2 linked regions of the Arabidopsis thaliana genome follow. The protein of the gene in region 1 interacts with the protein of each later gene in a pairwise test. Each region holds a gene or a part of one and is shown on either strand. Other genes may lie near its edges.

Evidence for each region.
Region 2: the proteins of AT3G23690 (region 1) and HB18 interact in a two-hybrid assay, tested with the Arabidopsis thaliana proteins (one large-scale study listed by BioGRID).

The regions. Positions count from the first base shown.
Region 1 is NC_003074.8:8,528,099-8,533,163, reverse strand, and holds AT3G23690 (basic helix-loop-helix (bHLH) DNA-binding superfamily protein), read left to right. Parts: upstream 1-1,805; 5' UTR 1,806-2,508; coding exon 2,509-2,928; intron 2,929-3,093; coding exon 3,094-3,294; intron 3,295-3,394; coding exon 3,395-3,529; intron 3,530-3,612; coding exon 3,613-3,684; intron 3,685-3,767; coding exon 3,768-3,920; intron 3,921-4,011; coding exon 4,012-4,108; intron 4,109-4,193; coding exon 4,194-4,231; 3' UTR 4,232-4,555; downstream 4,556-5,065. Other genes in the region: AT3G23700 (Nucleic acid-binding proteins superfamily), read left to right, coding at 1-16, 89-248, 340-460, 542-623, 704-807, 1,095-1,173, 1,258-1,308, 1,392-1,475; AT3G23685 (F-box associated ubiquitination effector family protein), read right to left, coding at 4,847-5,065.
Region 2 is NC_003070.9:26,734,083-26,739,192, reverse strand, and holds HB18 (homeobox-leucine zipper protein 18), read right to left. Parts: upstream 3,300-5,110; 5' UTR 3,068-3,299; coding exon 2,992-3,067; exon of another isoform or gene 2,904-2,991; coding exon 2,701-2,903; intron 2,568-2,700; coding exon 2,488-2,567; intron 1,036-2,487; coding exon 774-1,035; 3' UTR 528-773; downstream 1-527. Other genes in the region: DEP (RING/U-box superfamily protein), read right to left, coding at 4,553-5,038.

The DNA of each region.
Region 1 (5,065 bases):
TAAACTTCCTGTAAAGGTAAAGTTTTCTCCTTTGGCTTGTTTTGTGATCTCTATATTGTTTATAATTTGAGGTAAATCTTTATATTAGGTTGTTCAAGCTGATGAGGAAAATAGAAAGTTGATTTTATCTGAGAAGTTAGCATTATGGCCAAAGTATTCACAAAACGTTAATGTTGGGGATGTGTTTAACGGAAGAGTAGGTTCTGTTGAGGACTATGGTGCCTTTATCCACTTGCGTTTTGATGATGGTATATTTGCTTTTACCTAAATTTCTTGGTTTCTTTTTCTTGTTTTGAGCTTATGACATTGATGTCAGTTATGTGGGGTGGTGGTGTATAGGTCTTTATCATTTAACTGGACTAGTGCATGTCTCCGAAGTATCATGGGATTACGTTCAAGATGTTAGGGATGTACTACGCGATGGTGACGAGGTTCGGGTTATAGTCACGAATATTGACAAGTGAGTTGCTTATTTTGGTTACTGAAATTTATTAGCCATGACTCATGATATAGTTTTTAATCAAAAGTTGTTCCAATGCAGAGAGAAATCAAGGATTACACTATCCATCAAACAACTAGAAGATGATCCTCTTCTAGAAACATTAGACAAAGTGATTTTGAAGGTAAAACAATGTGAATGAATGTGTTTTCTGTCTCTTGTGGGTCTTAGTGATTTTTAATAGATAATTGAATATTGTTACAGGACAGTTCTACTGGATCTCCTTCGCTAAGCTCGAACAATGGGGATACAATTGAACCTCTTCCAGGGCTAGAAACAATACTTGAAGAGCTTTTAAAGGAAGATGGGTATATAGACAATATCATTTTATAATTTAAATTTACTATGCAGTCCTAGTCAGCTCTTTGCATAATATCTGCTTATTATAAGTGACTAGGATCACCTCTACTCTACTAGATTTGTTCACTCCTCGATTTGCGATTGAATATATACATGTCAATAGCTATTGCTGGCTGATACTTTTTCTGAACCCATGATGAGTTGGATATTGTTAATTGCATTACTTATAGAATCTATGTTTCAGGCATAACATTTTGGTTCCAGTGTGTAACTAATATTCATTTCTATATTGCAGAATAGAAGCTGTGAAAATCAACCGGCAAGGATTTGAGAAAAGAGTGGTTTCACAAGACCTACAACTTTGGCTCTCAAATGTGAGTTCTGTTTCTCTTTACTTTCCCGTAAGAATAAACTCTGCTCTGTGAAAATTCTGATTCTATGCGCATGTTCACACGCAGACACCGCCTTCTGATGGGAAGTTTGTTCTTCTTGCCCGTGCTGGAAGACAGGTAAATCTCAGAAGCTACCCATTTATATGGCCATAGATAGAGAGATTCTTGGTTTGATTTTAAGTAAAATATTAACATTACAGGTGCAAGAGATACACTTGACAACGTCTCTGGAACAAGGAGGAATCAAGAAAGCGCTTCAGCATGTACTAGAACGCGTCCCCTAAGAACCCGAAAAAAGACTTTTGATACTCAGCCACTATATTCAGCTCTATGCATCTCAAACTCTTGCCAATGTAACTTCAAGTGGAGCAGAGACTACTTCAGAAATATTCTTAAAAGGCAAAAATGCAAATTCATTTGTATCATCATTATATGTCACACATAACACAAACCTATGAAAATATATGTGTATACTCAATGTTTTTAGTTACACATTATAAACTTCATTAACATAAACAACTCATAATACATCAAATTCAAGTCTAAAACCTTCTCAAGTCAATAATTGACTTTTTTGACACCATGTTTTGGTAAGTACCATCATCTTTTAAAATAGTCTCTTAACCAAGAATAATCAAACATGATAATTAAAAACAATTTTATCCTTTTGTTTGTTTTCTCTCCCACAACTTTCCTGTCTCTGCCATGCACATGCTCTCTCTCTCTCTCTCTTTCTTCTCTCTTATTCTCACTCCAATGATTACAGAGGCCAGCCTAAGCAGCCTACCCACTTTCACCATCTAATGTTCCCACATTAACATAAAACACACGTAAGATTCTTCTCCTTTTGAACTGTAAAATTCACTCTTTTTTAATTTCTTAATCTTTCTTATCATTACTTTCTCTTTTTTATTTTGTCATTTTCTCTTAAACCTTCTTCTTCTTCTTCCTTTGATCAGTAAAAAAAGTCACCGCCTTCTTCTTCTCTTTCCTCTTTCCCCTAATTGATCAATCATGCTTCTTCATTTCTAGTTCTCTCTTCCTGACTCATTTCCCTCATTAGATCTTCTTCTCCACTAAACCCATAATTGAAAGAAGCTCTTTTTTTGCTTACATTGAAGTTAAAAAATCATCACTTGTTTTGTTTTTGAAGAAACACACATAAAGTTTGTCTTTTTACTTCTCAAATTTGGTTGTTTTCACTCAATTTCAATCTTGCTTTCTGATTCAGATTCTGGGTTTTCTTCAGAATTCCCAGAGAAGTTGTTGGAATTGAATTTTTCACTTTTTTGTTCATAAAAGTTCTAGTCTTTTTAGATGAACATGGACAAGGAAACAGAGCAAACCCTAAATTACTTACCTTTGGGTCAGAGCGATCCCTTTGGCAATGGCAATGAAGGAACAATTGGAGATTTCCTTGGAAGATACTGCAACAACCCTCAGGAGATTTCACCGTTAACTCTACAATCCTTCTCTCTGAATTCTCAGATCTCCGAGAATTTCCCAATCTCTGGTGGAATCAGATTCCCTCCATATCCAGGTCAATTTGGATCCGATCGTGAATTTGGGTCACAACCAACAACGCAGGAGAGTAACAAGAGCTCTTTGTTGGATCCAGATTCAGTTTCGGATCGAGTTCACACCACGAAATCTAACTCTAGAAAGAGGAAGTCGATTCCTAGTGGTAATGGCAAGGAGTCTCCAGCTTCATCGTCTCTTACAGCTTCCAATTCAAAGGTTTTGATTCATTATCTCTCTTGCTCTATTTCAAAAATGTATACTTTAGGAAACTGTAGCCATATGTGTAAGAAAGTTTGTGTTTTGTGGAGACTTTTTATCTATAGACCTTTTAGTGTGTGTACAAGGTTTTTTAGTTGTGTTTGGTTTTGGATATATGATTAGGTTTCAGGAGAGAATGGTGGATCTAAAGGTGGGAAGAGAAGCAAGCAAGATGTAGCTGGGAGTAGTAAAAACGGAGTAGAGAAGTGCGATAGTAAAGGCGACAATAAGGACGATGCTAAGCCTCCTGAGGCGCCTAAAGATTATATTCATGTCAGAGCTAGAAGGGGTCAAGCAACTGATAGCCATAGTCTTGCTGAAAGAGTACTACACACCTTCTAAAACTGATCTGTTTTTTTGTTGATTAGGGGCTGTTTTGATGTTTATGATGTTGATGTTTTTTTTGGCTGTGTTTTGGTTTCAGGCAAGAAGAGAAAAGATTAGTGAGAGAATGACGTTGCTTCAGGATCTGGTTCCTGGTTGCAACCGGATTACAGGGAAAGCAGTCATGCTTGATGAAATTATAAATTATGTGCAGTCCTTGCAGAGACAAGTTGAGGTATGAATTGTGTATTTCATAAATGTTCTTGAAAGTTGGAGTTTGTATATCTTGAATCTAAAACTCGTGGTTTGTTTCTTTAGTTCTTGTCCATGAAGCTGGCTACCGTAAATCCAAGGATGGAGTTTAATGCTAATGCTTCTTTATCCACAGAGGTAAGATTCTGCTTTGTATCTATAATGGAATGGTCAGATTATGGAATGTTTTGTATCTATAATGTGTGTATTTGTATGTGTAGATGATTCAACCGGGGGAGTCGTTAACGCAGTCTCTTTACGCAATGGCTTGCTCAGAGCAAAGACTTCCATCAGCATACTATTCACTTGGCAAGAACATGCCAAGATTCTCAGACACACAATTCCCCTCAAACGATGGATTTGTTCACACTGAGGTAGTTTTAGTAGTAGCTAACGTCAGATTCTAGAAAAACTCGTTTGTGCGTATCGTAAACTCGATCCTTTTATGTTTTTGATTCATTATAGACACCAGGATTCTGGGAAAATAATGACCTGCAAAGCATTGTTCAGATGGGTTTTGGAGATATCCTCCAGCAACAGAGCAACAACAACAACAACAACTGTAAGAAAAATTAGAAGCAAATTCGTCTATCGAAATTATAGAACTATCTCTTATGTTGTTAAAGTCTCGTATCTTTATGTTGCAGGTTCTGAGCCAACGCTTCAGATGAAGCTTGAACCATAGTCCATAGCTATGATTATTATCTCTGTTGTACATACAGAAAACCAAGTAGTGATGAGTAACGGAGTGAATCATATTGGAATTTTAATGTTTACAATCGTTGCTTCTTTGCTTGTGTCTCTGTTGATTTCTTCTCAACCTTAAACAAAAAAAAAACAAGAAAACTTCAGATTAAGTATGTAAAAATATGACAAGAACTTTTCTCTGTACTGTTTTACAATCGTTATGTATTATGATTGCTCTAAGCTTGTAAGAAACAGGAATAAATTTGTTCACTTCTTTATATTCTTTTCACATTTTCTTACGAAACAAGATTGAGAGTACGAGTGGTTGATTACAGAAGTTCTCTCTTTCGATTCGTATACGTTCCCAATTGACTTCATGAGACTCTAATATTGCATTTTAAGGTACACTAAGCTAAGTTCCAGAAGAAAAAGATTGAGCGACTAGCTCATTATCGATGAAGAAAGATAAGAATGAACCATGAACATGATCTTAATCTTCAGTTTCATTAACTCAAGACTTGAAATAAAAGCTCTGTTTCTGCGTAATAATAGAGTAATATCATCTCGTTGGCTCCTTTTTCCTTCCTCCTATCAAAGCTCATTGATTTGTCGCTTAGAGTGAGACAAGCCTCAACATGTTTTCATCATATCGACACTTTTCTAAATCGCTTTGTTGTTTCGATTCCCCTCCTTCAGGTTGCTTGATTTGTACTAAACTTGGAACATAAGAGCACAGATCAGTCCTACATTCTTGGTCTCCAAAATCTCCAACGAGATCCAATCCCCTCAAGTATCCAGCCTCTCCAATGACAATAACTCTCTCGCGGTTACG
Region 2 (5,110 bases), on another chromosome or scaffold:
GCTATTCACATATTAACATCGCGTAAAAAATACTACATGAATTAAGAATAAGGGTTCTGTGTTGTCGAAAATAAATATGAATTCCTCTCTATAAACCATTACAACACAAAAAACGCAAAAAAAAAAAAATAAATAATAACAACAAGTACTTGGAATCGTTATTAAAAAAAATATATATACATTTGGAAAAGACATCAGGTGATTTGTAGGTGAAATTCTCCATCGGAATTCAATTTTATAAGCTTTTCACGTCATGGAATAATTAGCAGCCTTATTTGAGACTCGTGGAAGTCAAATAACAATGACGTTAATTGATGTTTTAATAATCTCTCCTTGCGCATCAAATAAACTTTAGTTGCTAGTGCTGCTATTTCTTAGTTAGATTTTTATAAATTTTCTCCTTCCTATTTATTTTTATAAATATAAATATATATATTTCTGAATTTTTCATCCAATATTTTAATTTTGTCTTCTTACACAGAATCAACAGCTCTATTTTCAAGTCAATAGTACAACTCAATCCGAAGGGACACGAAAAGCAATATTTGTTTTGTCTATTTTTTGGTTAAACACGAAAAATAAAATTATGAATAAATAACACAAAAAGCTAATTAAAGATCGAGAATTAAATTATCTTTTTTCCTCACTGGTTTGTAAATTTGTAATAAATAATTAGCAAACTATACACAAAATCCTCCTAATCATCATCAAATCTTTGCTTTTTACCCCGAAACAGGCGTTTATCTTTTGACTTTTGACTTCGACCAAACCAGTCAACAGAGGGAAGAGGAAGAGGAAATTGTCATCCGTGACCGGCTGCTAAGAACTGCCCCCTCTTGAACGGCATTAGAGTCATTATCTACTGCATCAGTCACACGTTCACACCGAGGACACATGGTTAAAGCCGAGGTCGATGATGGCTTTAGCGCTCGTAGTTCTTCAACTTCTATTTGTAGCCGTCGATTTTGTTCCTTCAACGATCCGAACCATCTTTTTAGATACTCACATTCCATTTCCGTGTGCTTTAGCTTACTCCTATATATACATCAGATTTTGTGTAACCATGATTGATGGTTAATGTGGCCATGCATAATTTTAGTTTCATTCGCCGAAGCATCAGTCTCAAGATATACTTACACCATACGTAAGTTATAGGTTTTATCCTATACCAACCAATGCAACCATATATATCCATAGGTTGGTGTTTGATATATATCCAATTTTATTAATATATTAACGAGTTTGGTGTTTGATAAATTTCTACTTTTAGAAGACTATTCTACTGACCTTTGCATATAACTATAAGTTTATAAACCTGTGTGTAATATGTGTTCACATGTTATACTATATAAGTGATTGCTTAATTGACCCGGAATGCCCATACGTAAGAAGAAGATCATCTTGACATATATGATATATCATATTGTTCTAGACGTCTACAGTTCTACTTCTTGTACTAATACAGTAACTTTTGTTTCAAATGTCCATTATTCTGATATTTTTTCACACATGCAGGTTCCGTATTTTTTTAATTATACTAAAATGGCCCCATTAAGGCATTAATTAAAAACTGAAAATAACACTACTACGATACTTTTACGAACTGAAAAATAGATATTGAAAATTATAGAGGCTCTTCACACTTCATTAATCAAAATTATAACGTTGTAGAGTTATGTATAGAACGCAATTAGATCCATTCTTTATGGACTTAATGAACTAACTCTATCTACCATGCATATACATGTATCTTAGTATTTATACATTAACAAATGTATGTATATATTTACACACATTCGTGTAGATGTATGTGAATATATAGACAATATAGAGAAAACATTCACAAAAAGTGTATGAGTGTGTTTAAGTTTCATTAAAGTTATATGTATACTCTATGGGACAAACATCATAATTATGGACTGGCCAAAGATGAGCTGAAAAAATAAACAGATCATTTATTGTCTCTAACTTTGTCCCTCATGTTCCCTATCGCTTTTTTCTTGTTGATACATTTATTACATTCTATATTTTGATTTTTGAATCATTGGACATTTATATATAGACACGTAGGCACATAAATTAAGAGTACGGGATTTCATGTGTCGCATAAAATGGGTGATAACTGATAGCTATATATGTGGGAATCAACGTGAAACACTTGGATAAAAAAGGATCACTTCCACTTTACTACATTTTCCTAAACTATAATTGTATATATGGTGAATTATGTTGAGAATCTAAGTTACGACACAATCTCTTTAGATATAATATTCTGTCAACGCACTCTCATATATTAAAATATTCTCAACCACTTAAAAAGTAAAAAGTATATTTTCAAAAACCCTATATATATATATATATATATATATACATAACATGCCGTATATATATAAACATACGATATATAATTCTTATTTTCTTCGATTTATACGAATTTAATTTTATGTATGAATGATGTAATATATGAAGAGGTAGATATATACGTACCGAGCTCTTCGATTTTGAAACCACACCTCAACTTGCCTTTGACTAAGCTTCAAAAAGGTGGCCAAATCTTTTTTTTGCTTCTGTGGTTTCATAATCAGCCACCCAAAACATCATCAGCCGACATGATCATCAGAAAAGATTAACTCTTTTCTCTTTCTTATTTCTCTATTCAACGTAAGCAAAACATAGACGGAGCCATTAATATATACTTACAGGGGTTAAGGTATGGTTTTGTATGAAACTCTCTTCAAGAAGATGTGATTGTTCTTTCGTTAGACGGAGCTTTTTGCGCCGCCGGCCACCCGAGTTGCTATCATCTTCGTTGACATGTGGTGTTGCACCGATCATCCACTCACGATCTTCTTCCGTCTTTGGTGTTTGGTTTATGTCAAAATCTCTCATCCCGTGATGATCACCTACCAAATTATTTTAATTGGAAGACATAGTATTAAAACTATATAATATATAAGATTTAATAAATCTTTAATTTGGATATGATCTTACCAAGTGAAGGAGATGGAGAGAAGCTCGGAATTGAGATTGTTAAATCTAAAGAGCTTGAATTAGGTGAGAGGGCCATGGAGGAGGATAAAAAGAAACAGAATCAAGAGAATTTGATGAAGAAGATAGTGTTTTTTTTGGAAGATAAAAGGTAAAGTTGAAGTTTTATATGATAATAGAAATGTAAGTGTGTGTTCTGTGTGTATATACACATGTGAAAGAACAAAAGAAAAAAGCGAGACAAAGGAGAAAGATTTTGTGATAAGCGTGGAATGTGGAATATGGAATAAGGAATTAAGCATAAGAGAAATATCGAAATATGTAAAATATTTAAAAGTATGAAACACGACAAAAGATTATTAAAAAAAAAATCTTTCAAGCAGGTCAAATACGAAGGAACAAAATTTAAGGGAGAAATATAATGGCCAGTGGTAAGTTGATGGAATAAAAAAAAACGAATAGATTTTAATTAAAGAGGTGTGTGTATATGTGTGATTGGTGGATTTGGAAAGAAAATAAGGGGTTTGACTAGTGTCGTTTAAGTCAAATCAGATTCGTATAATCAAACAATAATGTTTTGCCAATTTGTATTTTGGGGTTTAGTAATGGCCGTGTGTGGGACAATAACGGGTAGTCAAAGCATTGTTATGCGTTGAGCGTTACAAATGCAATAATCTTAGACAAATGACAATGGTCTATACTTAAATGGATCTATTAAAACCGTGTAGATTTAAAAATAAAGCAATAGCTATCTTTAATAACTGAAACTTAAATCATTTACCATCTAAACTATAAATAAGAAATATATAAATCTAATAGTTTCGAATCTATAGATTATATAAAAAATAAAATAATTAACAAAATTCTTTAATAGATATCTATCAATATTAGTAACATTATATACATATGTTTATTATTATTACTGTATATATATTAGATTAAGCTTGATGTTTTTGAACTTAAAAAAAAAGGAGATTAAGCTTGACGTTTTTTAATTGGGATAATATATAGTTTTAAATGATATTATACACATATCCTCCACGGATTGTGTAATAATGAACTCGTTATCATTGGTTAGGATGGGCATGCATGACCCAAATTACCCAAATGTCATATATTTACGGGTCATTTCCTCCAATATATCCATGCCTTACGGCTTTTGTATCCTAAGTGGAGTGCTTCTGGGCCCTCATTACCTGCTTTTGTTTTATCTAGCCGACCTTGGTCCGGTTAACTATATGTTGTCTTTTCTCCGGTTCTGATGAATAAGTTTGTTCTTACGAATTGAACCAAATTCCTCACAAGTTTGTATACGCGCGCACAACTTTGTTGATTCTGATAACACAATTTCGACATGATGTGAAGCCGTGAAGGTTATTATCCGATTATGCTTAGATATTTAGGTTAGTATGCAGATTAACACAAACAATTTCATGAGTTCCTTTCCAAACCGGAGAGTACATCTCGTTTAGGAACATTCTCCCATTAACATATTAAAAAATCAAGTGATAGGTTTCAATACAGAATATCATAATGCGTAATCGTTTCTTCATGACGATGCTCGTCACTCGTCGTCATCCATAATTTCAACACCACAGAGAGGGCAATTATTACTTGTACTTAACCACTTATCGATACAATCACCATGAAACACATGCGCACAATTTGGCATGTCGAATAAGTGCTGTTCCTCCAACAAGCAAAGACCGCATGTTTCCATGTCTGGTTCCTCGAATATTTGTGGGGTTAATGTGACGTCATAGGAGATGTACAACGGCCCTGGAACTCGCTTGGCTTCGAAAGCGATCTTGAAGGAGAGAATACTGCATAAGTTGGGATCTTGGAGCCTTGGATAGAGAAGATTATACATGCTTTGTTCATCAAAGCTCACGATGTTTTTCAAAAAGAGGTGAGGGGTCGGGAACGCAGGAGAATCGCTTGATCCTAAAGTAACCTTGTTTCGACGCGATTCTCTGATCTCCACCGTGTTTGATGTAGATTTGCGCGTAACACTTGCTTCAATACACACGAGCTCTTCAATCTCACTCATTCTATGGAATTACTGAAGAGATTTAATGAAAAAGAAGAATGGCAGTGTGTCGATATATATAGATATATCAAA